5 linked regions of the Nothobranchius furzeri genome follow. The protein of the gene in region 4 interacts with the protein of the main gene of each other region in a pairwise test. Links are inferred from orthologs where the notes say so. Each region holds a gene or a part of one and is shown on either strand. Other genes may lie near its edges.

Evidence for each region.
Region 1: the proteins of fmr1 (region 4) and nufip1 interact in a two-hybrid assay, tested with the Homo sapiens proteins (2 studies listed by BioGRID). The link is inferred for Nothobranchius furzeri from reciprocal best matches to the Homo sapiens genes FMR1 and NUFIP1.
Region 2: the proteins of fmr1 (region 4) and fibronectin type III and SPRY domain-containing protein 2 interact in binary tests that used the Homo sapiens proteins (3 or more experiments, as listed by UniProt). The link is inferred for Nothobranchius furzeri from reciprocal best matches to the Homo sapiens genes FMR1 and FSD2.
Region 3: the proteins of fmr1 (region 4) and pick1 interact in a two-hybrid assay, tested with the Homo sapiens proteins (2 studies listed by BioGRID and IntAct). The link is inferred for Nothobranchius furzeri from reciprocal best matches to the Homo sapiens genes FMR1 and PICK1.
Region 5: the proteins of fmr1 (region 4) and cyfip2 interact in a two-hybrid assay, tested with the Homo sapiens proteins (2 studies listed by BioGRID and IntAct). The link is inferred for Nothobranchius furzeri from reciprocal best matches to the Homo sapiens genes FMR1 and CYFIP2.

The regions. Positions count from the first base shown.
Region 1 is NC_091742.1:74,292,521-74,296,119, reverse strand, and holds the end of nufip1 (FMR1-interacting protein NUFIP1), read right to left. Parts: coding exon 3,581-3,599; intron 3,490-3,580; coding exon 3,397-3,489; intron 3,274-3,396; coding exon 3,101-3,273; intron 3,026-3,100; coding exon 2,900-3,025; intron 1,979-2,899; coding exon 1,740-1,978; intron 1,670-1,739; coding exon 1,235-1,669; 3' UTR 1,134-1,234; downstream 1-1,133. UniProt on the Homo sapiens protein: Binds RNA.
Region 2 is NC_091749.1:41,524,476-41,529,364, forward strand, and holds the start of fibronectin type III and SPRY domain-containing protein 2, read left to right. Parts: upstream 1-1,494; 5' UTR 1,495-1,684; coding exon 1,685-1,812; intron 1,813-1,921; coding exon 1,922-2,189; intron 2,190-2,392; coding exon 2,393-2,488; intron 2,489-2,736; coding exon 2,737-2,970; intron 2,971-3,065; coding exon 3,066-3,088; intron 3,089-3,271; coding exon 3,272-3,393; intron 3,394-4,889. Other genes in the region: WASP homolog-associated protein with actin, membranes and microtubules, read right to left, coding at 445-1,020.
Region 3 is NC_091752.1:66,109,206-66,114,249, forward strand, and holds the start of pick1 (PRKCA-binding protein), read right to left. Parts: upstream 3,251-5,044; 5' UTR 3,110-3,250; intron 2,984-3,109; exon of another isoform or gene 2,740-2,983; intron 2,670-2,739; 5' UTR 2,646-2,669; coding exon 2,605-2,645; intron 2,456-2,604; coding exon 2,344-2,455; intron 2,250-2,343; exon of another isoform or gene 2,221-2,249; coding exon 2,092-2,220; intron 1,383-2,091; coding exon 1,316-1,382; intron 1,223-1,315; coding exon 1,133-1,222; intron 1-1,132. UniProt on the Homo sapiens protein: Probable adapter protein that bind to and organize the subcellular localization of a variety of membrane proteins containing some PDZ recognition sequence.
Region 4 is NC_091741.1:30,645,893-30,650,166, reverse strand, and holds part of fmr1 (fragile X messenger ribonucleoprotein 1), read left to right. Parts: intron 1-1,593; coding exon 1,594-1,646; intron 1,647-1,748; coding exon 1,749-1,842; intron 1,843-4,021; coding exon 4,022-4,093; intron 4,094-4,274.
Region 5 is NC_091742.1:50,768,315-50,773,249, forward strand, and holds the start of cyfip2 (cytoplasmic FMR1-interacting protein 2), read right to left. Parts: upstream 3,135-4,935; 5' UTR 2,943-3,134; intron 1-2,942. UniProt on the Homo sapiens protein: Involved in T-cell adhesion and p53/TP53-dependent induction of apoptosis. Does not bind RNA. As component of the WAVE1 complex, required for BDNF-NTRK2 endocytic trafficking and signaling from early endosomes.

The sequences.
Region 1 (3,599 bases), on a different chromosome or scaffold from region 4:
CACATCTTAAGCAGTTGCCCAAAAGCACTATGAGAGGGACGCTATCGCTGGCACCATGACTGGGTGCTTAAAGCTTTGGCGGACTCAATTAAGCACAGCAAGACCCAGGCAGCTCCCCAACAAGCTATCACCTTTGTTAAAGCAGGGCAGAAGGCACAATGCCACTGGCCTAGCTCCCAAGGGGGGCTTCTCTCTACCGCTCGCGATTGGCAGTTTCAAGTTGATGTAGGTAGACAGCTCAAGTTCCCAGAAAACATCACAGCTACGTCTCTCCGCCCAGATATGGTGATATCTGAGTCCACCAAGCAAGTGGTCATCCTAGAACTGACAGTCCCTTGGGAAGACCATATTGAAGAGGCCCACGAGTGAAAGACGGCCAAGTACTGTATGCAGAGCTGAGCTCGGAGTGTCGGAACAACGGCTGGAAAGTTCGTTGTGAGCCTGTCGAGGTTGGGCGCCGAGGCTTTGCTGGCCACTCACTGCTGCGAACCCTCAAACTCCTTGGAGTAAGAGGACTGAAACTGAAGAAACCCACCAAAACCATCCTCGAGGCCGCAGAGGGGGATCCTTGGAGCAATAGGCCACTTGGACACAAGCTGGGGACTGATCAACCTCAGCTGGGTCGCCCGGGTGAGGGTGTATGAAGATTAAAGACCCGAAACACCCTATGACCCCGGGTTCTTTACTGATGACGTGTCCAAGTAGCAATGGAAGGTGTATTCAAATTCTCTGAGTTTAGATTAATTTCAAATATGGTCAGATACATGTCTTAAACCTTTATCTGCCCCAAGACATATTTTCCCAAGATGCTCCCTTCCATAAGCAAATATGTTAATATTACTAAAACATTTAAAAGAAAGCTCATCGCTCTTTTATCAAGTTTGTCGTATTTGCAAGATTGGTTAATTCATATTTTAACAATGGCGTCACGTTTCCACACAGACCAAGGTAAGTTTGGATAGTTTTGTTCCCTTAATAAATGAAATCCTAGCGTTTGTAGGTGTTTGGTATTTACACAGTTGTCTAATTTTGAAATGTGTTTTGTGATCTGTAATGTGACAAAATTAAGAAAAATAATATTAAAAGAACATAACACTACAACATGACTGTAAAGACCAACAAGTGCTATAGTATAGGGATCTTACTTTACAGATGCATAGTTTTATATAACAAAAGAGGATATTTCTATAAACAAGCAGAATCATTTCAAAATAAAACAAAGACGCTGTGATCTTCACAAAGCAGCCTGGTTGCTCTCCCATATCTCATCATCATACATGTTGGAGGCAGACATGTTTTTATCTGAGGAGGTGGTCATCTCGTCGCCGTTCTGGACCAAATCTGCAGCAGCTGCATCAGAACTCCCTTCAGAGTCTAAAGGAGGCTCACCGCATGGATCAGACAGGCCGTTACTCATCAAACTCCCATCCTGTCTTGTTCCTTCTCTTTGCAGATCTCCACATTCTGGTGCGACTCCACCAACAGAACAGCTGATGTTCTCAGGTTCGTCTGCTGGACTCGGGTTATTGTGGACAGTTCTGGTGGCCGACATGTCTTCAGTCTGCTGGTTCTTATGTTCGCTCTCCAGTCCAAAGAAGTTGTTGTGGACAACATAGCGTACACACTGGAGGAGGACATTCCTCTCGTGGCGGATGTCTGGAGCTAGTAGCTGAAAAGGAGAACTACATTAAAACCAGACATCAGTCATGTCTACATGTCTGTGTCATGTAGACTCGTACCATTTCTAGTAAAGTGGGACGACGTTTCTGAGGCGTATCTTGGTGTCTTCTTCCTCTACCACGGTGACCTCTCCTGTTTTTGACTGTGTTAGGACCAGAGTAGAAGTGAGGAGCTTGATCCGTCTCTGTAGAGGTTTCCAGACCTCTAGAAGGCCCTGTGTACCCAGAGGTGGGCTGGATTCTGTTTAGGATGGTCTTGTTTTCCTGAACTAGGTCTCTGGCTCTCTGAATGGGAACAGCTATGACACAAAGAGACAAGCTTATTATTGGGAAAACACATTCAACAAGTCCAAACCAGGGTTGTGTATTGGTAGGAATCTGGCGATACGATAAACATCACCACACCAGGCAGACGATGCACCTCTTGTGCGTCTATTGTTGACTTTCAGGGGACCCCGTCACCTTCAGCTCCCACGTAATTCGAACCCTGGCTTCAGTTATGGCACTTACACACAAGCATCGGCTCCACTCCGCCTGGACCGGGTTGGGAATGTTGTGGATTTTCCCGCATGCAACCGGATGTCTTTGCAGCCCTATTCCCAAGGTGGTCGGCCTGGAGCTGAACTGGTCCAATATGCCCACTGCCGACTGATTGGCCAGCTCAAAATCGTACCATTTAGGGGAGCCTCGGATTGGCAGATGTAATCAGCCAGCAGGGGATTCCCGCATTCTGGATGCTGTGGAGTTAACAAGCCTCTGACTGAAGCCATTTTTCTGTATCTCATTGCTGTGAGGAGGTACACACACACACACACACAGCAAAGCAGGACGTAGTATCAGAGTCTCCAAAAGCAAGACTGCTCAGGCTGCCTTTGTTTAATAATGGATACACCACAGACTTCGCCACGATCTTTTGCACCTGCGGCAACTTTGGAGACCGCCCATGTTCTCAATCACGTTCGCATTCCTAAGGCAGTGTGGAACAAACGTGGCCAGACTGGGGCGGGTTACGCAGAGTGGAGCCAATGCTAGTGCGCAAGTGGCATTAAAGATCTCTCAGAGCTTCTGTGTTAACGGGTTGTGCACACATCTATGAGAAGAACCGTTGAAGAGGTCACGACTTGGATTTTATGGCGCCTAAAAAGGGTTCTCTTTGCATTCTGGGTAAACATAAAGCAGTGTTACGCATCCTAATGGCCAAACATAGGTTTGTTCACCACCTTCTGGTTCCTCATCCTCTTCACTCATGGAACCGTAGTTAGCCATCAAGGCGCCGAGAGCTGAGCTCATCTGTTTAGGAGGCACAACCAGAACCGGTCTGGACTCTGGAGCCTCTTTGTCTGAATCTGGGAGCACAAAGCAAAGAAATCTGGTTTTTGCCTCCAATTTGTAGGAAACGTTCCAGACTGGAGAACACTCACCATGATCACCGTGTGCCAGTACACCCAATGGATCTTCACCTCTGGGACAATGGATGGGGGGTCTGGGAGACTCGGAGGACCTGCTTTCAACTGGAGGGCCTTGTGGGCGTCGCCCTCTGAACCCTCTGTTTCCCCTCCCACGACCTCTTCCTCTGCCTCTGCCCCTCATTTGTCTGTCAAACAAAAATCTGAATAGTTCTACTGGTTTTAACCTTGTGTCCCATCTCCTACATGCTCTGGAGTCTGGATGGGGATAGTTCCTCGCTGGTCAACAGTCCAAATGTTCTCACACATACCCAAACTGAGCCGTTTCAAGAACCCCTCCAGTCTGCTGCCGCGCCTCCATGATCTTTTTCTTCTTCTCGATGTTCTGAAGTGTTGGATAGTTTCTGTAAAATCCAATTAAACGATGCTAATGAACACCAGTTAAACCCAAAGAACCCTTCACCGCGGGTGTCCGATCACGTAAACAAGGCTCACTTGCGTCTCTCCTCTCTCC
Region 2 (4,889 bases), on a different chromosome or scaffold from region 4:
TGTTACAGAAATTGTTTAAATCCAAGCTAACAATGATTGAAATGAAAGAAAAACATGAAATTGAGTTAGTTTAGTTTGTTTTGAATAAACATAGGAAACATCTTGCTGAGTAACAAGTTTTCTTTTGACAAGTTTGAGCCAAATCTAAATATAGATTTAAAGGGAAATGTTCATTTAACCAGCTGTTCTTCCAGCTGAAAATATTATTAAGATGTGGTGCTTAAGATTTGCATTTTTAAAGAGAGAATTGTTCTGTCTGGAAATTGATTAAAGCTTATTTTCTTCTGCCTTCATAAACATTTTTAGGAGATTTTCCAAACAGCAGGTCAGAGAGCTTGTCGGGGGAAATAAGCAGAACCTCTTTAGCTCCGGAGCAAACGAGCAAGAATCTGAAACATTCAGTAACTGAATAATGCAAATATATCAACCCTCATACTGTCTCACCTGTCTGAGGTGACTCTTGGCCCTCGACATCTCCTCCTGCATCGTCGTCTTCTTGAACTCCTGTAAGTTTTCAAAATATTCCTCAACGTCCCGCTCATCCTGAGTGAATAAAGTTTCCAGAACAATCTTCCGACCGCAGAGGTCGATGGCAGTGCTGAAGTATTTCTCCAGTTTCCTACATGGGGCATCAAAATCTCTCTCGCTGTCATCCTCGGGGCACGACCTTCGGTTGAGAAACAGCAAGTCCCAGATGTTACTTTCTTCAAAGCCGGATATATCCGGGAAGCAGCCCCCCAGGACGTCTGCCACGCACGTAAACTGTTGGTGAATGTGTTTTAAATCACTGACGGAGAAGAGTCCAGCCCAGCTCATCTGCGGGTCACCGACGGAAACTTCAGCCTTGCGTTTCTGTCGCTGTAACGTGCGGTTGTGACAGGTGACTGCGAACTTGGACTCTATTACATTCCACTGGACGATAAAACCCAGCTTAAACGTTTCTTCCTCTTCAAATATGTCGCTTTTAATGGCTACCCACCCTTCCAGGCTGTCTAACCGGTCTAACTCTACGCTGTCCATCTCAAAAACGGAGGTTTAGAGTTGGCCTCAGAAAGCTGCTGGCTCTGTTTACAACATCCGCCATTGCTGTGACGATAGATGCTTTCAATAATCACAAATATTCGGAAATTTGAAAGTTTCGTTGAACGCAAATAATCAGCCCTCAATTAAACACAGTTCTAGTATTTGGTTTCAATAAATGTTAATATAAGGAATGGATCAGAGAAACATATCAGGATGAGTTTATAATCTGTAAGAGAAACAAATGTGAGATTTCTTTAATGTAACAAACGTAATCTTGGCCCACTGAATAGCATATGCCCAACTTTATAAAAAAAAGTATAAATGATTGAATAGGGGCGTGTTTTGATTTTATTACGTTGTTTCACTAAGGCATGAACGGGGGCGCAAAAATCGAATCAAAGCGTTTCAGTGGCTGACTGGAGAATTTACGAGGATCCCTGAATGCATCGCAATGACTTGTTTCGCGTTCAACTTTGACCTTTGAATCACATGCTCGGGGAATTCCATCCACAAAAACAGCCTAAATCATCCTACAGACTATATATAAACATTTTATTTTTCTGAGTCAACAGAATAAATATGTGTCAATCAAGTAAACAGAATGTTTTAGTTCATTTTTCTAGTTTATCTTAGTGGATTTTTTAGATGTCTGACATCTGAGATGTGTTCTATTTTTATCATGGTTGAGGGGAGTACTCTGCAACTTTCTTACCAACACAGCCCTGAAAAGGTTGCTTTGTACGGACTGCTTACTGAGTTACAAAAGGTACATTTTAAATCAATAGAAAGGTAATTTGCATATGGTTAGTACAAGTGCTGTGTTTATTGACTTATATGAGTTAAAAAAGAGGATTTATTTGACCTAGAACCAGAAAATTTCAAACTTGTGTTCTGACAGTTTCATGGACCTGACTGAAATCCGAGGGCTCAGGCTGGATGTGATTTCAGAGGAAGGTGAGCACCAGGACTTGAGCAGAGGATCAACAACCATGGAGATGTTCAATTTGGCTTCAGATCGAGCTGGAAGGACCTTGCAGAGGTTCTCAGTCGGCACCAATGAATCATTTCGTTTTGAACCCTGTGAGGACAACTCTCCATCTCCAACTGGGGCAGCAGATGGATATGGTGATGATGATGAAGTGTTCAAGAAGGGAGAACCCGAGGTGGTGACATCATTTATAACTGAGGATTTGCAATTAAACATAAATGCACATTCATGAACATTTGGTGGTTTGAAATCTACATTGAATTCAGTTTTCCATTCAAATGGGTGAAAAACCTGCACAAAGAAAACAGTTATAGTTTATGTTTGGTTTTTTTTTTTTTTTACAACATAAAGGGATAAACTCTGACTTTTTGCTGCTTGTAGAGTGACATCGTCTCCATCAGGAACCGACTGCAGGGGAAGGTTGCTGAGATGGAGAATTTTGCAGGTCATCTGGAGGAAATCTTTCTCACCGTTGAGGTAAAACTAAGAAGTCATATTTGGTTTGGTGTGTCATTTATAGGTTTTAACTGTGATTTACTACTTTTAAAAGGAAAATTTTGTCTATTCTTGTTTTTGAAATGATTGATTTTCTATTTTTGACTCAAAGACATACATAACTTATCTCGAAGACTCACAAATCTATTTTTATTGCCTCTCATTCCATTCTTCTCTATGACTAATGTAAATCTCTGAATGGACCTCCATGATCATGTAAATCTGTCCAGGAGAATTTTGGCCGTCAAGAGCAACTCTTGGAGCAGCACTACAACGATGTGCTGCAGACTTTGTCTCAGCGATATGACGAAAGGGCGAGTGAACTGGAGGAAGAGAAAAAGAGTAAGTTGGAGTCTCTGTACAGCCAGCTGCTGGCCTGTGGTCAGGCACTGGGCAACTCGAAGGAGCTTATTGAGACAGCTCAGGAGACCTACCGCAGCCAGGACAAGAGACTCTTCCTGAAGGTGCTTTAGCTCAGTTTCTGCAGAACTTTGGAAATTGTTCAGCTGCCTTGATCTGAAAAAGCCATTTGCCTGATTTTTTTAACTTTTGTTGACAGACTGTTATGCCCATCATTAAAAGGTAAACATGACCATTCTAGTGAGTTTGCATGGCGTGACAACTAACATTTTTACAGGTTTAAGTTTGTGTGGCATGAAGCTGTTGTTGTAGCTCCAAGTAGCAAAAATCAGGAGGAGTTTCCTCATGGCATGGCATTTTTTACCTGTTAGCAAAATTTCTGATTTTCTTTTCATTGTTAACTAGATTTGAAACATTTGTGAAAGAGGATGTTGACCTCACCCTGTCTACAAGCCTTGAATTCAACACACCACTCGCTGATCTGTCAGATGTCACAACCATGATGGAGTCTATCAACATCATTCCAGGTCTGATTCAAAAGCGCATCCTCTATGCTCAATGGTGGCATTTTCGCAACAGCATTTTCTTTGTGACGTCAAAGCAGTTGAGTTTGTGAGTTTTGGTTTTGACACATCTAAACTTCTACAAATGAATAGGGTCAGTAGAAAAGTCCTGGCAAGGCTGATTGCACATAGCAACTGATTTTAGTTTTCTTACACATCGAGGCTCGTGTGTCCATACATTTAGTGAGGTTAGCAACCAGGAGAGTGTTGTGATTAGGGATGCACCGATACGATACTGGTATCGGCACCGATACCAATACCAGTATCGTGTCGGTAAAAGTTAACTGATACCAGCAACCGATACCAATGCAGTTGCTTGAAAATGGCTTCCCTGCAACTTGTCATTTCTGTTCACCTAATATTTTAGTTTAGTGATGATTTCCAGTCATACATTTTACTTTTTATCTACCTCACAGTATTTTCCTGTTGAAAGCAAAGAAGAAAATAAAATCTGTATTCCAAATCATTGCATTTTTTTGTGTGGTAGAAATATCGGTGCTGGTAATCGGAATCAGTGAGTACTCAGATCCGAGTATCGGTATCTTATCGGTTTGGAAAAAAGTGGTATCGTTGCATCCCTAGTTGTGATTAGACCATATCTATCTGAAGCATCTTCATTAGTTTCAGGACCACTTGATGACAGATTTATGGAACAGAATAATGGAAAAACTCGCATGATGATATTTTTATACCCTGAAGCTTGTCAGGATGGGATGGGATACAATATTGTAATCTGTTTGACAAAATTACAATAATATCACAGTGATATCAGAGTGACAGAAATTATAGGTTTACGTTAGATGTATGATACAAAGACCTTTCAAGGAAAGTTAAAGTAATTCATCCACGTAGGGAAATCAGATGGAGATGGACTAAAATGGCATCCATGAAGAATTCAGATACATTCTGATCTCACTTTTGCGTGTATCATCTCAATGATCCACAAGACTTTTGGGAAATATTTTGTGGATTGACAAGACTAAACTTAAGACTTCTAGATGGTGTGTGTCCTGTTATATCTGGTGTAAAACTAACACTGCATTTCATAAAAAGAACACCATTCCAACAGTCAAACACGGTGGCGGTAGTGTGATGGTCTCAAGATGTTTTGCTGCTTCGGGACCCGGACCGTTTGTCGTAACTGATGGAACCATGAATTCCCATTTGTAAAGGCATTATTTTTGTGTTGTTATTTTCACTCTTAGTCAGGGTGTTATTGTTTTTGATAATCTACTGCAGGGGTGTCAAACTCATTTTAGGTCAGGGGCCACATTGAGGGAAATTAGTCCCAAGTGGGCCGGACCGGTAAATAAAAAAAAACTTCAGATTGTTTTCTTTGTTTTAATACAATCAACATAAAACAAGGCTGGAGCCTGAGGGCAGTGTAGTACAAGTACAAAACCTGAAGTGTACTTGAAAATTTGAACAAAGAAATAAATAAACAAATAAAAAAAAAACAT
Region 3 (5,044 bases), on a different chromosome or scaffold from region 4:
ATGACAAATGTTTTTTTATTATTGAGAATGGTAATCTAGACTGTACATGTATAAAAAATATGACTAAATACAGCAAATTACAATTAAAAAAAAATATTAGCCCTCTGGGGTCCAGGGTGTAAATCACCTTTTTTGACTCATTTAGGTTTTTCTTTTGCATTTTCTAATAAAAACAATAAATATTGCCATATTTTTTTTTCAGGACAACCTGGACTATCTGAATTTATACTTATTTTATTAATTTGGCAATAATGTACATGCATTTTGGAGTGGGGAGTGGCTCTGACAGCTGCGCGGCGCCGCCCACTCCTCTTGTTGGATCTCCGAGGAGCTGGATCTCTGCCTTCATCCTCTACCTCATCATGACCCAACTCTTCTATGAGGAAGGATGGATTTGCCACATCGTCATCAACATCCTCGCTGTTTGCCTCAGACTCCGGCTGCGAGTCTCCGCCCACTTCCTCTGCTTCCAGTTCAAAAAACAGCCGTACTTTCTGAACTGCCTGGTGGACATTTATCCTTCTCATCATCCTTTATATAAGCCTAATAAAAGCCGACTAAACTGCAGAGACAATATTTCTGTCCGGATCGCTCCAAAATATGAAGTTTACCGTCAATATCTGTCTAATTGTTTGTTGTTACTCCGTTGGCGCCACTCCTTTCCCCACAAAGCGGCTCCTTTTAGCGCACGTCTCGTTACTCGTGCGGCCTTCCTCTCTCTTTCAGCTACACAATGATACTTTTTATCAGCTGAATATGTGAGACTTCCACCAACAGCAACAGGATCTCATGTTTTTGTGGGTTTTTTATGTTCACAAGCACATTCCCGCTCACGGATTACCAAACTGCTGTTTTGACAAGTTATCAGATTGTCTAAAAATAGGTTGTTTTTTTTGTTTAGTATAACTCCGCTTTTACTTGCCTATGAACAAAATTTAAAAACGGGGGTGTAGTTTATAATCTCCTTTCTAAAGCTGAATCGAAAATGAAACTCAGGGAGGCGGAGTCTTGCTGCTACAGCGTCCCAAATCAGACCTGTTCAATAGACTCGTGTACGCGTCCATGGACCCCAGAGGGTTAAACCAACCGTCACCTTTTAAACAACAACAACAACGTTTAAAACAAGACTTACCGTTACACAGAATGGCTCTGCTGAGTCCGAGAGCATCAGCTGTGCCTGAGCTCATGTTCTCCACCAGGCGGTGCTTCACCTTTTTCAGCACTGAAACAAACAAACGTCATCCAGCGTGACTTAAGAAGACGACACAGCGTTACACTAAAACATGAGAGTGGTAGAAAATCCAGATTAGGGTACCGATATCTAGAGACTTTCCCTGTTTGGGGTCAGCCTGCAGCTTGTTGTAGTGGATCACCGCCTCCCCCTGTGAACACACACACAAATTTAGGATCTTCTTTATGTAAAAACAGGAAACATCTGTATTCATTTCTAATATTCAAGCATTAGGAACAAAATGGTTTATGTGGTCAACTTTGTGGTACAGAAGGGGACCTTCACGAGCAGCGTGCGTCCTGAAACGGTAACGTCAACAGTGTAAGCCTTTAATTCCCACACTGAGACCAGTTTTTATCCCACCATTCAGGAAGTCATGTTTTCTTTTGGATGGACAAAGGAAGCCAAAAGCAGCAGTCGCTCTGTCCTGCTGATGTGACGCCACGAGCTTTGTCCCTTTGTCCTCTTTTAAACAGCCTGGAACGCTGAAACCGTCCCTCTGCTCCTCTGAGTGAAACTGGGCTCACAACCTCGTGGAAATATTCACAGATGAAGCAGCAGAACTTCAGAAAGTAAGCCATCCTCTCTCCTTATTGGTCTGCATGTTGTTATGTAACACACTTTAAATTCTACATCATATTTAAGTAACATAATTATATCTATCTAGAGTATATCGAGGTGAGATGAAGTCAGTTTAATGGTTTAAGTTTGGTTTGATGATATAAGAATAACATAGAAGAAAACAGTAATAGAAAGTATTGCTGTGTTTAATCTTCAATCTCAGAAATATGTCTAATAGATTCTCATAACCTCCTAATGTTCAGATCTTTAAATAACAGACTGGCGTCATTCCCGAGTACCTGGACCGTTTGAATCATCTTGGCCACCTCCACTTTTGTTTTTCCTTTCACCGTTTTCCCATTCACACCTGTGATTTCATCACCTGCTGCCAGCGTCCCGTCGAGAGCTGCCGGCGTGTTATCAAAGACCTGAGAGACCAGAACAATCACAAATCACGGTAACAATGACTAGAAAGCGATTGGATTTCTCCACTGACATCTTCAAATGGAAGTTTAGTGATTCTTTTCCCTAATTAATGTCGACACAACAACCTGAACGATGTAGAGGCAGGGACAGTACTGTGCTCCACCACCAATGCTGATGCCGATAAGATTGTTTGCATCTTTCTTCAGGGTCACAGTGCCGGGTACCGTTGGGATCCCGCTAATAAAGAGGAAACGTGTTGATATCCAGAAATCACCGCACATCAGCAGATAATCATAAAGGGTTTGGTGTAAACAGAAAAGTCTGTGTTACAAGAGGCATCAACGCGTGTAAATGGATTATAGAGATTATAAAGCATCAAGACTCACAGTTTGTCCTCCTCCAAATCATAGTCCATGTCTGTGAACATTGTAGGACAATGTCTCTACTGTCCCTGAAAAAGAAACAGCTCAACTTTGAGATCTAAAATATAAAAACTAAAGAAATGAATATCAGGAACTTACTTTTAACTCTACTAAGAGCGATTTAATTACAAACGAGTAGATGTTTTCTGGGATAAATATGGAAACGTTTTAAAGTAAACTACTTTTTCCAGTAAAATAAACAGTCACCGTTTCTAATCGATGCTGAACTCAGTCGATGCTGACAGAGGAGAGATACCGGAGCGGCAGAAACATCTGGTTACGAACAGCTCTTGCTTCCCAGGTAAATGCCTCTTTAAAGACGTATGAAACCCTGGATTTATGGTTAAAACCTAACAATACATTTCTACTTCGTGACCTAACCAAACTACATGCTAACACCGCTGCTAAAGCTGCTAGCTTATGTAGCTTTCAGGCAGCTGCTATTGAAATGTCGCCGCAAACCTCTTACCTTTGCTAGGGTTAGGTTTATTAGAGTTCGTCCTATACTACCCGCTTTCTATTCATTAGGTCAATTTTTTTTGCAAATCTTGCCTTAAAATATCAATTATTTTAACTTCTTGATGCACTGAGTGACGACTGTTTACTTAATTCGTCACTTCCTGCACAGTAGCGGAAGTTGTGTTGAGAATGCTCCTCTTCTGCCATCTAGTGGCCAAATGTTATACTACACCATAAACATTCAAAAACATCTGACTGGCCCGGAGTGTTAATCTATGAGAATCAAAATTTCTGGCTCAGAGATTAAATTGTTTAGATTAAACGATTTTATTGATTATTTTTGCGCACTTTATTTCACTGAAGGTTTGCACAATTTTCCCTTAAGGATTCATTATTAGCCAGATAATACCAAAAACCTAAAAATTAAATAAAAAGAAAAAACTCCTGTATCGGTACTGAATATTTACTAAACTGAAAGGGAAAATCACTTGATGGCAGTTTTTGCTTCAGTACTATTTAACAGTTATAGCACTTGCTTTAATAATATTTAAACCTCCAACCACATTGTGACGCCTGGTTCTCAGTTTATGTTAAGACATCAGTGTAACGTCCAGAAAAGGGCAATTTTGACCTATATATTGACCTGCATAGTGACCGGTCATCTACAGACATAATTCCACTTTCTAGGTGGATTTTCTATTCTATCTTCTCATAAGATTATTCAAACATTTTACATAACATCTGGTTCATTCAACCTTATGATTATAAACATACAAAACATATCTGGATTCAGTTTTTAAATTGCAAAAAAGAGCTATTAGAATAATAAATAAAGCTGGATATAGGGAGTCCACAAACCAATTTTTTGTAGGATCAGCTATGTTAAAATTTAAGGACATTATTTATCTTAAAACTTTAGAAATGGTGTATAGAGTGGTGAAAAAGAATGTTCCAATTAGTATTTTAAGTATGTTTAAATTAAGAGATGGAAAATATGATTTGAGGGGGTCTTATATGTTTGAAATACCTAAAGCGAGAACTAATGCTAAATATAGATGTGTGTCGGTTTTGGGAGTGAAGTTATGGAATGGACTTACTGATGAACTGAAGATGTGTTATTCTTTGTCATTTTTCAAGAAAATTTTAAAAATTTGCATCTTCCAAAGTTATAGAAATTTAGTTTGATGTCTAACCTTGTGTTGATTTGATTTCTTGATTTATCATTGCTTTTTCTTTAAATGGTATGCATCTTATCTATCAGCCTTGGTTAGGGATTTGATTATCTCTGTGGGAGTTAAGGATAGGCTAATTATAAGCCACTAGGCTTCAACCTATTCTTTTTGGTTGCTTGATTACTTTTATGTAAAATTGATAAATTGTTGTAGTTGACCGAATAAAAATATCGATAAATGATTTACCTTATGAGTTGTAAAAGTTCACTTTTCATTCAGAGTGTGGAATCCAGCAGTCTGAGATAAGTTTGACAATCTTGTCTTCATGAAATGTCAACAAGCACTACAAAATCTTCTGGGTGTTAGAAGATAGAATAGAAAATCCACCTAGAAAGTGGAATTACATTTGTAGATGACCGGTCGCTATGCAGGTCATAATTTTATCATTGAACAACAACCATGTTCTCAATGAACCCCAAAAACTCATTAATATCAAAGCTGAATGTTTTTGGAAGTAGTTTTTGGTTTTAGCTATTTTAGGGGGATATCTGTGTGTGCAGGTGACTATTACTGTGCATAATTATTAGGCAACTTAAAAACAAATAAATACCCATTTCAATTATTTATTTTTACCAGTGAAACCAATATAACATCTCCACATTCCCAAATATATATTTCTGACATTCAAAAACAATACAAAAACAAATCAGCGACCAATATAGCCACCTTTCTTTGCAAGGACACTCAAAAGCCTGCCATCCATGGATTCTGTC
Region 4 (4,274 bases):
GAAGATGTAATATTCTATGTAAATATAAATATTAACCTGCTAGGTCTATATTGTAACTGAAGATTCTAGGTTTTAATTCAGAAGATCTAGGTTCTTTGCTTTTTCAGTGATCAACCACACTTCGTGTTACTTCAAGAAAGAGTCAGGTTTATAAAAGTAAGAATTTATTTAGCAAACAATTAAAACATGACTAATTAACTAAGCATTTACTGTGAGTGAATGTAACTAAACGTGATGAAAGAACCAATGTGTGAATGCGGTGTCAGTCAGAGCTTCCTTATCAAAGTAAGCTGAGTTCTGGTGAACAGAATTTGGTTTGCTCTAAGCTATAAAGTTGTTATCATCAGAAGAACATCAGACGCAATCTATCATGTCTACTTCACCCATTTTTGAGAGACCCTCTTGGTGGATCCGAAAGTCGCAGGGGTCGGCTGATCTTTGGCACCGGAGGGTTGTAGAATACCGTGGTACCGACTCTTCAGTCCAGAGATGTCTCGGGTCATAACAGCTGGATGGAACCGTGCGTCTGGCAGACTCTTAAGGAGTCTCACAGTATCAGCTTTGTTTCTGCAGGAGCTGTTTGCTCATCAGCTTCGCAGGTGCAAAAAGGTTTTGACGACGTGTCAAAATCTTTGATGGCTAAAGAGGTTTACTACAGGTGGCCGGTCTGAAGCGATTCTCCAGAACCCTCGAATCACTCAGGATGATCCAGTTTTAAGGTTTTGATGTTATGATTTGCACAGCCAATCAAAGGCTGACAGGTTTGAGAGATGTTACCAAGACAACTCAGAAACATGCCTTCTTGATACGGGACGTTCTGACTGGTTTAAAAGTCTCTGTGTGTTGGAGTTTAACTTAACCGTACTTGTTATTGTGAGTGCAGGCGTGAGGACCTCGTCGTCAAAACATGTTGAACACATGGCGGGTTCTAGTAGACATAAACATAACATAACATCCATTCAGTGAGCACAGATTAATGAAGCATTTCATTATACTATAATTATTGTAAGTAGTAATAAACAAATGTTTATTTAATGATTATCTAGATTATAAGTCATGGAAGAAGTTCATATTGATTTAGTAAATCATTCTTGAATTTAGCAACTCATTCGAGCTGGAGTTGTTCCTTCTGTGGAGGCAGCCAGATGGGACCTTGGGAAAGAAAGTTATTGTTTATCTTTCAGAGCTGCAGAGTCTGTGAGCCCCAGCTGGTATGAAGGCAGGCTCATTTAAAGGGAACACATGCAGTGTTGTGTCTCCTTTCTGACCAGGTGTTGAATAGATGTTGAAAGGTCAGACTGTACCTAAAACTGACCATCGCTGGACGCTACAGATTGCTGTAATCAAATTTGACCACAAGATGTCGTTTACTTCATTCTACAACTTGCAGCTTCACATTTTAATATGTGTTTCAGCTACATGCTGTTGTCAGTTTGGGAAGCATGTAGCTGAATCGTGATCATTTAGCACTTATTACATACTTGGATACCGTGTAGGGCTGGTTATCCATCTACCTCCTCGTTCGTCACTGTGGAGGTGTGGCCACTCACCCCCTTTGTTGAACATTTCTGTTCATTTCTGTGGTTTTTGTAGGCTTTTATCAAAGATGTCCACGAGGGATCTGTCACCGTGGCTTTTGAAAACAAGTGAGTAATATAATGTTTACACACACGACAGTAAAGCTTTATAGTAATACATCTGACGCAATAATAGTAGGATTAAATAATGTTTGTGTTTGTCCGATCCAGTTGGCAGCCGGAACGTCAGATCCCATTCCAGGATGTCCGCTTCCCTCCTCCAGCGGGCTTCAGCAAAGAGATCAACGAAAGCGACGAAGTGGAGGTGAGAAGGGTTCAAACCTCAGGGACAAGCAGGTTCAGGTATTCATCCAAAGGGCAGGAAATAGAAGGACAAGTATGTTTTAGGTGGCAAAAACACTAAAACTCTGGTTTAGAGTTTTCACCTCCAACCCACAGAACAAACTGTTCCAGCAGTTCAGCCTTTCCATTTTAATTGTAATCATAATAATTAATATAGCAGAGGGATGTCCCATTCCGATATCGATATCGGAAGTAATTCGATATCAGCCCAAAAACACTATCGGATTATATCAGACTGCATCAAAACTCTCTGATGTAAGCAGTCCGTTAAGGTTCACATTGTTGGCAACCAATGGTTAAAAAATGTTGTCATTTTTTTCATACTTACTATTGTTGGCTCTTCTTCTCTGATTAAGTAACATCTTTTGATCAAGCCTTTCATACATTCCACACTACAAAACCGGTATGTAGGATTTGTGCTGATATCGTATCGGATAGATATCGGTATCGGTCAATACTGAAAGGCTGCAATATTGGTATCGTATCAGAAGTGAAAAAGTTGTATCGGGACATGCCTAATATAGCATAAATGTGTCGGCACAAAAGCAGAGTATTCAGATTTGTCAACCCTGAACCGCACTAAAGCGTTAAAAAACAAGGACCTTGTCAATTATAGCTGAAATAATTCTTTTAAAGTGTGATTACAAATATTCCTCAAGGCCTAATGTATACGTCTGCGTTGGTATGGAGACACGCAACGCCGGTATCTGTCGTTGCCAGGGCTCTCCAACAAATGGCATCAGCTCACTTCCTGTTACTGCTTTGATCCTTTTTATGTAGTTACAGGGTTTCCCTTACATAGGCGTAGCCGTGGCGGCCCGCCACGGCTGAAATCTTGCCGCCACGCCTACAAGATCCCAAGTTTTATTTATTTATTTATTTATTTATTTATTTTTGCACTGTTTCCCGAAGAAGCAGCGGGAACTACTATGTTGTTGTCGCTTGTGATCACAGCCGGCGAGCAGCAAGAAGAAAGGAGCAGGCAGGGCAGGGTGCAGTTACAGCATAAGTTACTGAGTTTAAAATCAGAAAGGTAGCAGTGGATATAATGCTTTTACGTTTACATGTTTCAGCAGCATTAAGATAAACGAGTGCTGACCATCCTGACAGGGTTTCCTCCAGTGCTTATTAGGCCAGGTTCTCCTCCCCCACCAGGCTAATCATCACTTATTCATGTAAAATGTATTTATTACTTCATGTCTGACTTTAACCACATCTAATACTGTATTACGGCGTGAGCGCAACAGCGACAACTTAAGATCGATGTGTGAGCAGCGTGAGAGGTCGGGTGTTTCATCCGAACCCTTAAAACCTCCAGCAGGCTACGCTGCACTAAGTATTAGCGCGCAGCGCTACATGTCTACATTAGCGACGTGACATGTCTCGGAGAAAGCGTAAAAACACGTTGGACGCTTCTTCTGAAGCGGGAAAATAACGCTTCTTCTTAAGCAGAGCACGACGTCGCCTCGGCTCGTTCACGGCCGAGCCGGTACCGGACTGAGCTCGATAACATGACCCAGCACAGCCACTGGGTCGTTGGAGCTGCCCCGTGACTGCCTGATGGAAAACCAGCGGGTTTCATCAGACTCGTAAGGTTTCTTGTTTTTGCTGGGGACCCCCTGTATTTTACCGCTGCCTCCTGCAGTCTTCCCCTATTAACATTTAAAATGATTCTGTAAACTCGTGTATCGATAGAAACAATCTCTGTCTAAATGTAATTCTCAAATAATAAATAAGACGTGCATTCATCCGTGTATCTCCTTTGATCCGCATTAGTGATGTTTTCAGCACCAGAACAGTGAAGCAAAGAAACATTCCTGAGTTTGTTAGTAATTTCATTCATTAGGTACATCTGACCTGTTCTATTTTTCTCTGAAATGAGATCAAATCAGTGCTTCTATGGGTTGTCTCCAATCTGCACTGGAAAATTGTACTTTATTTAGAGACGTGGCATAATCCCCCCCCCCTGCCACAGCTGGAAAAATTCCTAGGGGAAACAGTGAGTTAATAAAACAGCTGACATGTCGGTGTGACGTAGCTTTGTTCCTGACTCATGTTTTTGCTGGAAGTTTTAAACGCCGTCAGACGTTTTAGTAGAGCTGAAAGCTTTTGTTGGTTCACTGGCTTTGTGTGCTTTCCAGGTATACTCCAGGGCTAACGACAAAGAGCCGTGTGGATGGTGGCTGGCAAAGGTCCGCATGGTGAAAGGAGAGGTGAGGCTCTCCGCTTACTTCCTGTTCTAAGGCTCGGCAGCAGTACGGGTCTAGAGCGTAGGACCGACTTGTAGAAATGAAGTCACACCTCTACTTCCAGGCGTATAAATGCTCTGCTATACAAGGAAAACAGAAACACGTTTATGAATGCCAGATAGATCCACTTTATCCCTCGCTCGTC
Region 5 (4,935 bases), on a different chromosome or scaffold from region 4:
GTTGCATCATCCCACCCACCAGGCATATAGAGGGCCCTGATTGGCCCACAAAGCAGATAAAGCTCTGTGATTTGTTCACTAAGCAGATAGAGCACTATGATTGGTCCACCATTGTGGACCAATCACAGCTCTTTATGTGTTTGAAACCCCTCTAGAGAGCTGTGATTGGCTAGCCAGAGTCCTGGTAGGAGCTGCTGAGGTTCCAATGGAGCATGCCTAGACCATTCTTTGCAAAGCAAGAATTTGGTCTAGTTCACTAGGCTAGGGTTTATGTACTTGTCTGAAAATGTAACACGTTTAAAAAAAATATACCGCGATAATACCGAAAACAGTGATAATTTTGGTCACAATAACCGTGAGGTTAAATTTTCACACCATGACAACCCTAAACGGCACATATCGTTAATCAGCCAATATTAGTTTAGGATATCAGTATCGGCCCAAAATGTCATATTGGTGCAACCTTATTGATTTTAACACTGATCAGTGCACAAAACAAAGATTTAACAGCTGGTTAAATTAAGTGTTCAAAAAATGGATCCAGCTTCAGAAAATCTGTGCATGAACTAATGTTATTAGTGACATTTTGGCATCAAAATAAGGTGGTAAATGTCTTTGGGCTTCCTGACAGGGTTGCGGAAGGCGCTTTATAAATAAAGCTTTGATTGATTGATTGATAAATATCGGCCATGAAAATCTGCAAGGGATGCACGATATATCGGCATCAATATCGGTATCAGCCGAAGTTAGACCTTTTTTCATATATAGGCATCAGTCCGATAAATAAAACTGGGTCAATATTAACAACAAATATTTTTCCCATCATTTCCTTTTGTTTCTCTGTTTCAGAGGTTGATGTGTACTTGTTTAGTCATGTGACATTGATGATAATCATCTCAGAAGCGTAAATGTGTGAGGTGTTTGTACATAATGATGTAAATTCAGCTTTAATAATTTTCATTCTCCACCGAATCTCCTGATTTTTGAAGCAGTTATGTCAATATATCAGTATTGGCAAATATCGGTTATCGTCCATAACAGTGAAATTAATATCACATATCACATCTGCTCAAAATTTTCATATCGGTGCATCACTAAAATCTGCCCAAAATTTCGGCTGCACAAATCGGCCATCGACTGACCATGACCTCAGCACCAGAGATTTGAGAGCCCAACTCCAAGTCCCCAGACTCTGCTTCCTCACTGGAAGACGTGTCGGTGGGATTGAGGAGGTCTTCAAAGTATTCTGCCCACCGATCCACAAGTCCTGAGTAGAGGTCAGCAGCACACCGTCCCCACTATAGATAGTGTTGGTAGCACACTGCTTTCTCCCCGAGGCGCTGGATGGTGGACCAGAATCTCCTTGAAGCCGTACGAAAGTCTTGCTCCATGGTCTCACCGAACTCCTCCCATGCCCGGGTTTTTACCTTGGCGACCACCCGAGCCGCGTTCTGCTTGGACCACCGGTACCCGTCAGCTGCCTCTGGAGTCCCACAAGCCAAAAAGACCTGACAGGACTCTTTCTTCAGCTTGGCAGCATCCTTAACTGCTGGTGTCCACCAAAGCATTGGTATCAGCAATACAAAAAACAATATTAGTCAACCTCTGATTCTGGCCATGTGTGGGGTGCTACAGCCACTCTGGTCTTCTCAGAAGGACATCGGGACTGCTTCGATCTTAAATCTGGGCTCGGCCCAACATCGAAGACAAACAAACATGCTTCATGTTGAAAGTCCATCAAAAGCATGCTCCTCCTCCACCACAGATAGGTTTAGCAAGACTTCTCATCTAATCGGTGTGTAGTTTTAGCCATGTTGCTGGACTGCAGGACCAAAACTGTTTGGTGATTTTTCATCACCTCGTGTGGGGTCTCTCACGTTTTTAAAAATCACCCCACAATTTTAAACCCTCCTGTGTGAACCGGGCCTTAGAGCTCGACAAGAAGCCAAAGATAAATGTGATTATTTTCTCTTTTGTTCTGTAAATGTGCCAATTAATCAACGGGATTACTTTTTTTTGTCAAACAGTAGACATCTTCTCTAGAAAACAAAACAAAAAACAGCAACTCCATTCATGTGTGTTGCTTTTAACCTAAACTTCAATAAAAAATAATGATTTTTAAACAGTTTGTCTTGTGATGAAGCAGTGATACCAGAGGCGCCTCTAATGGTGAACACAACCCACCAGTCCCAGTCTTGTCTGAACCAGTGCAACCACTTTAGATCAGTTAAAATGGTTTTCTCCACCACTACATGGAAAATCTGCATCGCTGCATGTTTACAACTTGCTGACAGCACATGATGAGAGGCGGATTTCAGGAAAGAGGTGTGCAGCGGTGTGAATGCAGAGACGGAAGCGTGTGAACCGGGGATGGTGATCACCCAGGCCCGAAGGCTGCTGGTGCGATGGCCGTGATGGGTCTGGACCGTGTGGCCTGCTGGTCGGATGCATCAACTACGGGGGGGTTCTAGGGTGGAGAAGGGCATTTCTCACCGTAGATACAGAATAAAGGGGGGGAGGGGGGAGTAAAATGTGTGATCGAGCTCTCGGAGTCCTAAACATAAACTCACTCGGGTGTATATTTTACCTTATCTGTGTAAAAGACGTTACCGGCTCGGGAAACCGTTATCTGTACGTGTACGTGCTCCATCACTCCTCGGTGCACTTGCTGCTCGGGAAGCCTCACCCCACCCATCTGAGCCACGGCACCGATGGAGGCGAACGGGACTCCCATTCATCAGTCACATTCATCCGCTCATCTTTTCATCCGGAATCTCGTTCATGCACAAACACACAGGTGACGGGAAAGATGTAAAAGCGCGAGACGGAGGGAGAGAAAAGCGGCAGCAGCTCTCCCGGTCGCTCTCCAGCCATCATCACTACCCAGCTCACATCATCACCCCCAGCCTCTCTCCTTCCTCTGCATCCATGTTTCCACCTACCCGAAAATCGCATGTCCCGCGGAGTCCGGCGACAAGCAGACGGGTGGCCGGTGTCGCGGTCCTGCGACAGCTCTCCGGTGGTTCCTGGGTGTTTTCTGGGTGTTCCGTACCGACTGATGCTCTAGTTTCGCTCGGTACCAGCCCTGTGCTAATCCGCTCCACACAAAGAGCAGAAAATGGCTGCAAGTGCATTTTCTTAAAGGGACAGTCGCAGCTCGGCGCCGTCGACATGTTGATCCCTCTCGTTTTTACAGCTTACTCAGGCACTTGTACTTTGGGGTGCCATTTGTGAAGTCAAACAGTCGTAATCTAACAGCAATACTTTTGGTTATTTAGCATATCATAAGAGAAAAAATTGGGAGTTCACTTTTTTGAAGTCGTATTTTCACCATGTTTATAAATGTTAAAGTTTCCAAATAAATATTTAGTTAGCAAGCTAAATATTTAATTTGTAGTTAAATATTTATTTTGCAAACTAAATATTTAGGTCAGATCTAAATATTTAGTTTGTAAAATAAATATTTAATTCACTAACTAAATATTTAATTTACTAATTCAATATTTATTTTGGAACTAAATATTTGATTTGTAAATTAAATATTTATTTTCCTAAATAAATATTTAGATCCCAGCTAAATATTTATTTTGGAGCTAAACATTTAGTTTGCAAAATCAGTATTTGAGAAATAAATATTTAAGTCTGACTCAAAAAATATAAAATATAGTGTGGAGCTAAATAACATTGTGAAAAATAAATATTTAGCTGGTACTTAATCATTTAGCTAATGTACAAATTTGCTTGCCAATAAGCAGAAGTTGGTTACCAAAATAAATGCTGGATCTCGCTAACTTCTTTATAAACTCTTGCTCCAAACCAGAACTTGTTTTATCTCCGGTTCTTCTTCTGAACATGTCCGACGTGTTGGCTGAAGAAGAATAGAACCGGAGATAAAACAAGATAGGCACCAGTTTCATCTCAGGCGCAGCCGCGCAGCGCCACCGCAGCTTTACAACATTGTGGAGTACTTTACAGTAGACATTACGACGCAGAACAAACCCAACCGCACTTTTGATAACTTTAAAGTACTATTGATGTTCATGTATTTTAATAAATAGTATACTTTCCCACTTTTAAAAAATTTGAGTCTCACAAAATGCTATGGTAAGTCTGATCAAGTATAAACAATAGAGTCACTTCCCGCTTCCTGTTCTCAAGTCCCGCGTGATGTTGTGACTATCGCACGACTTTCCAGAAGTGCTCAGTGGCATTTCCTGTGTGACAAAATCTTGTTCTCAAAATCGCAGGAGCAACACTGATCGTCCGCCTACGGTGTGCCTCAAGCTTTATATAGCCTCAGCATGTTTGGGACAGTGATATTTTGGTTCAGTTGTATTTTTTATTTTTATTTTTTTGTGCGCCCTCATCTTTCTGCACTCTGTAAACCCAAAATGTTGAAAATAATCAAATATTTTAGAACTCAAATGTGTTGAATTAGTTCAGCCTTTTCCTTGTATTAAATAGAACTCAAAATTTATAATTAACCTGAACTATTTCCTTTTATAGTAGCCTAACATACATAAATTAATAAACCACAACTTAACTGGAATGAGTAAAAATAACTAAATGATTAATTTATCATTTTATGGTTCTATTTTATTCTATAAATCTTGATGTCACCTGTGTCTGATAAATAGACTTATATACATACATACATACATACATACATACATACATACATACATATATACATATATATATATATATACACATATATATATATATATGTGTGTGTGTGTGTGTGTGTGTGTGTGTGTGTACACACACGTGTTTTAAATGTTTGTGGACTTATAGGAAAAACAACCAAGGGCAAGTAATTTTGGTGCATTGCAGAAACAGCTGTTGCCTTGCAGCAAGAAGGTCCTGGGTTCGATTCCTGGCCTGGGATCTTTCTGCATGGAGTTTGCATGTTCTCCTGTGCATGCGTGGGTTCTC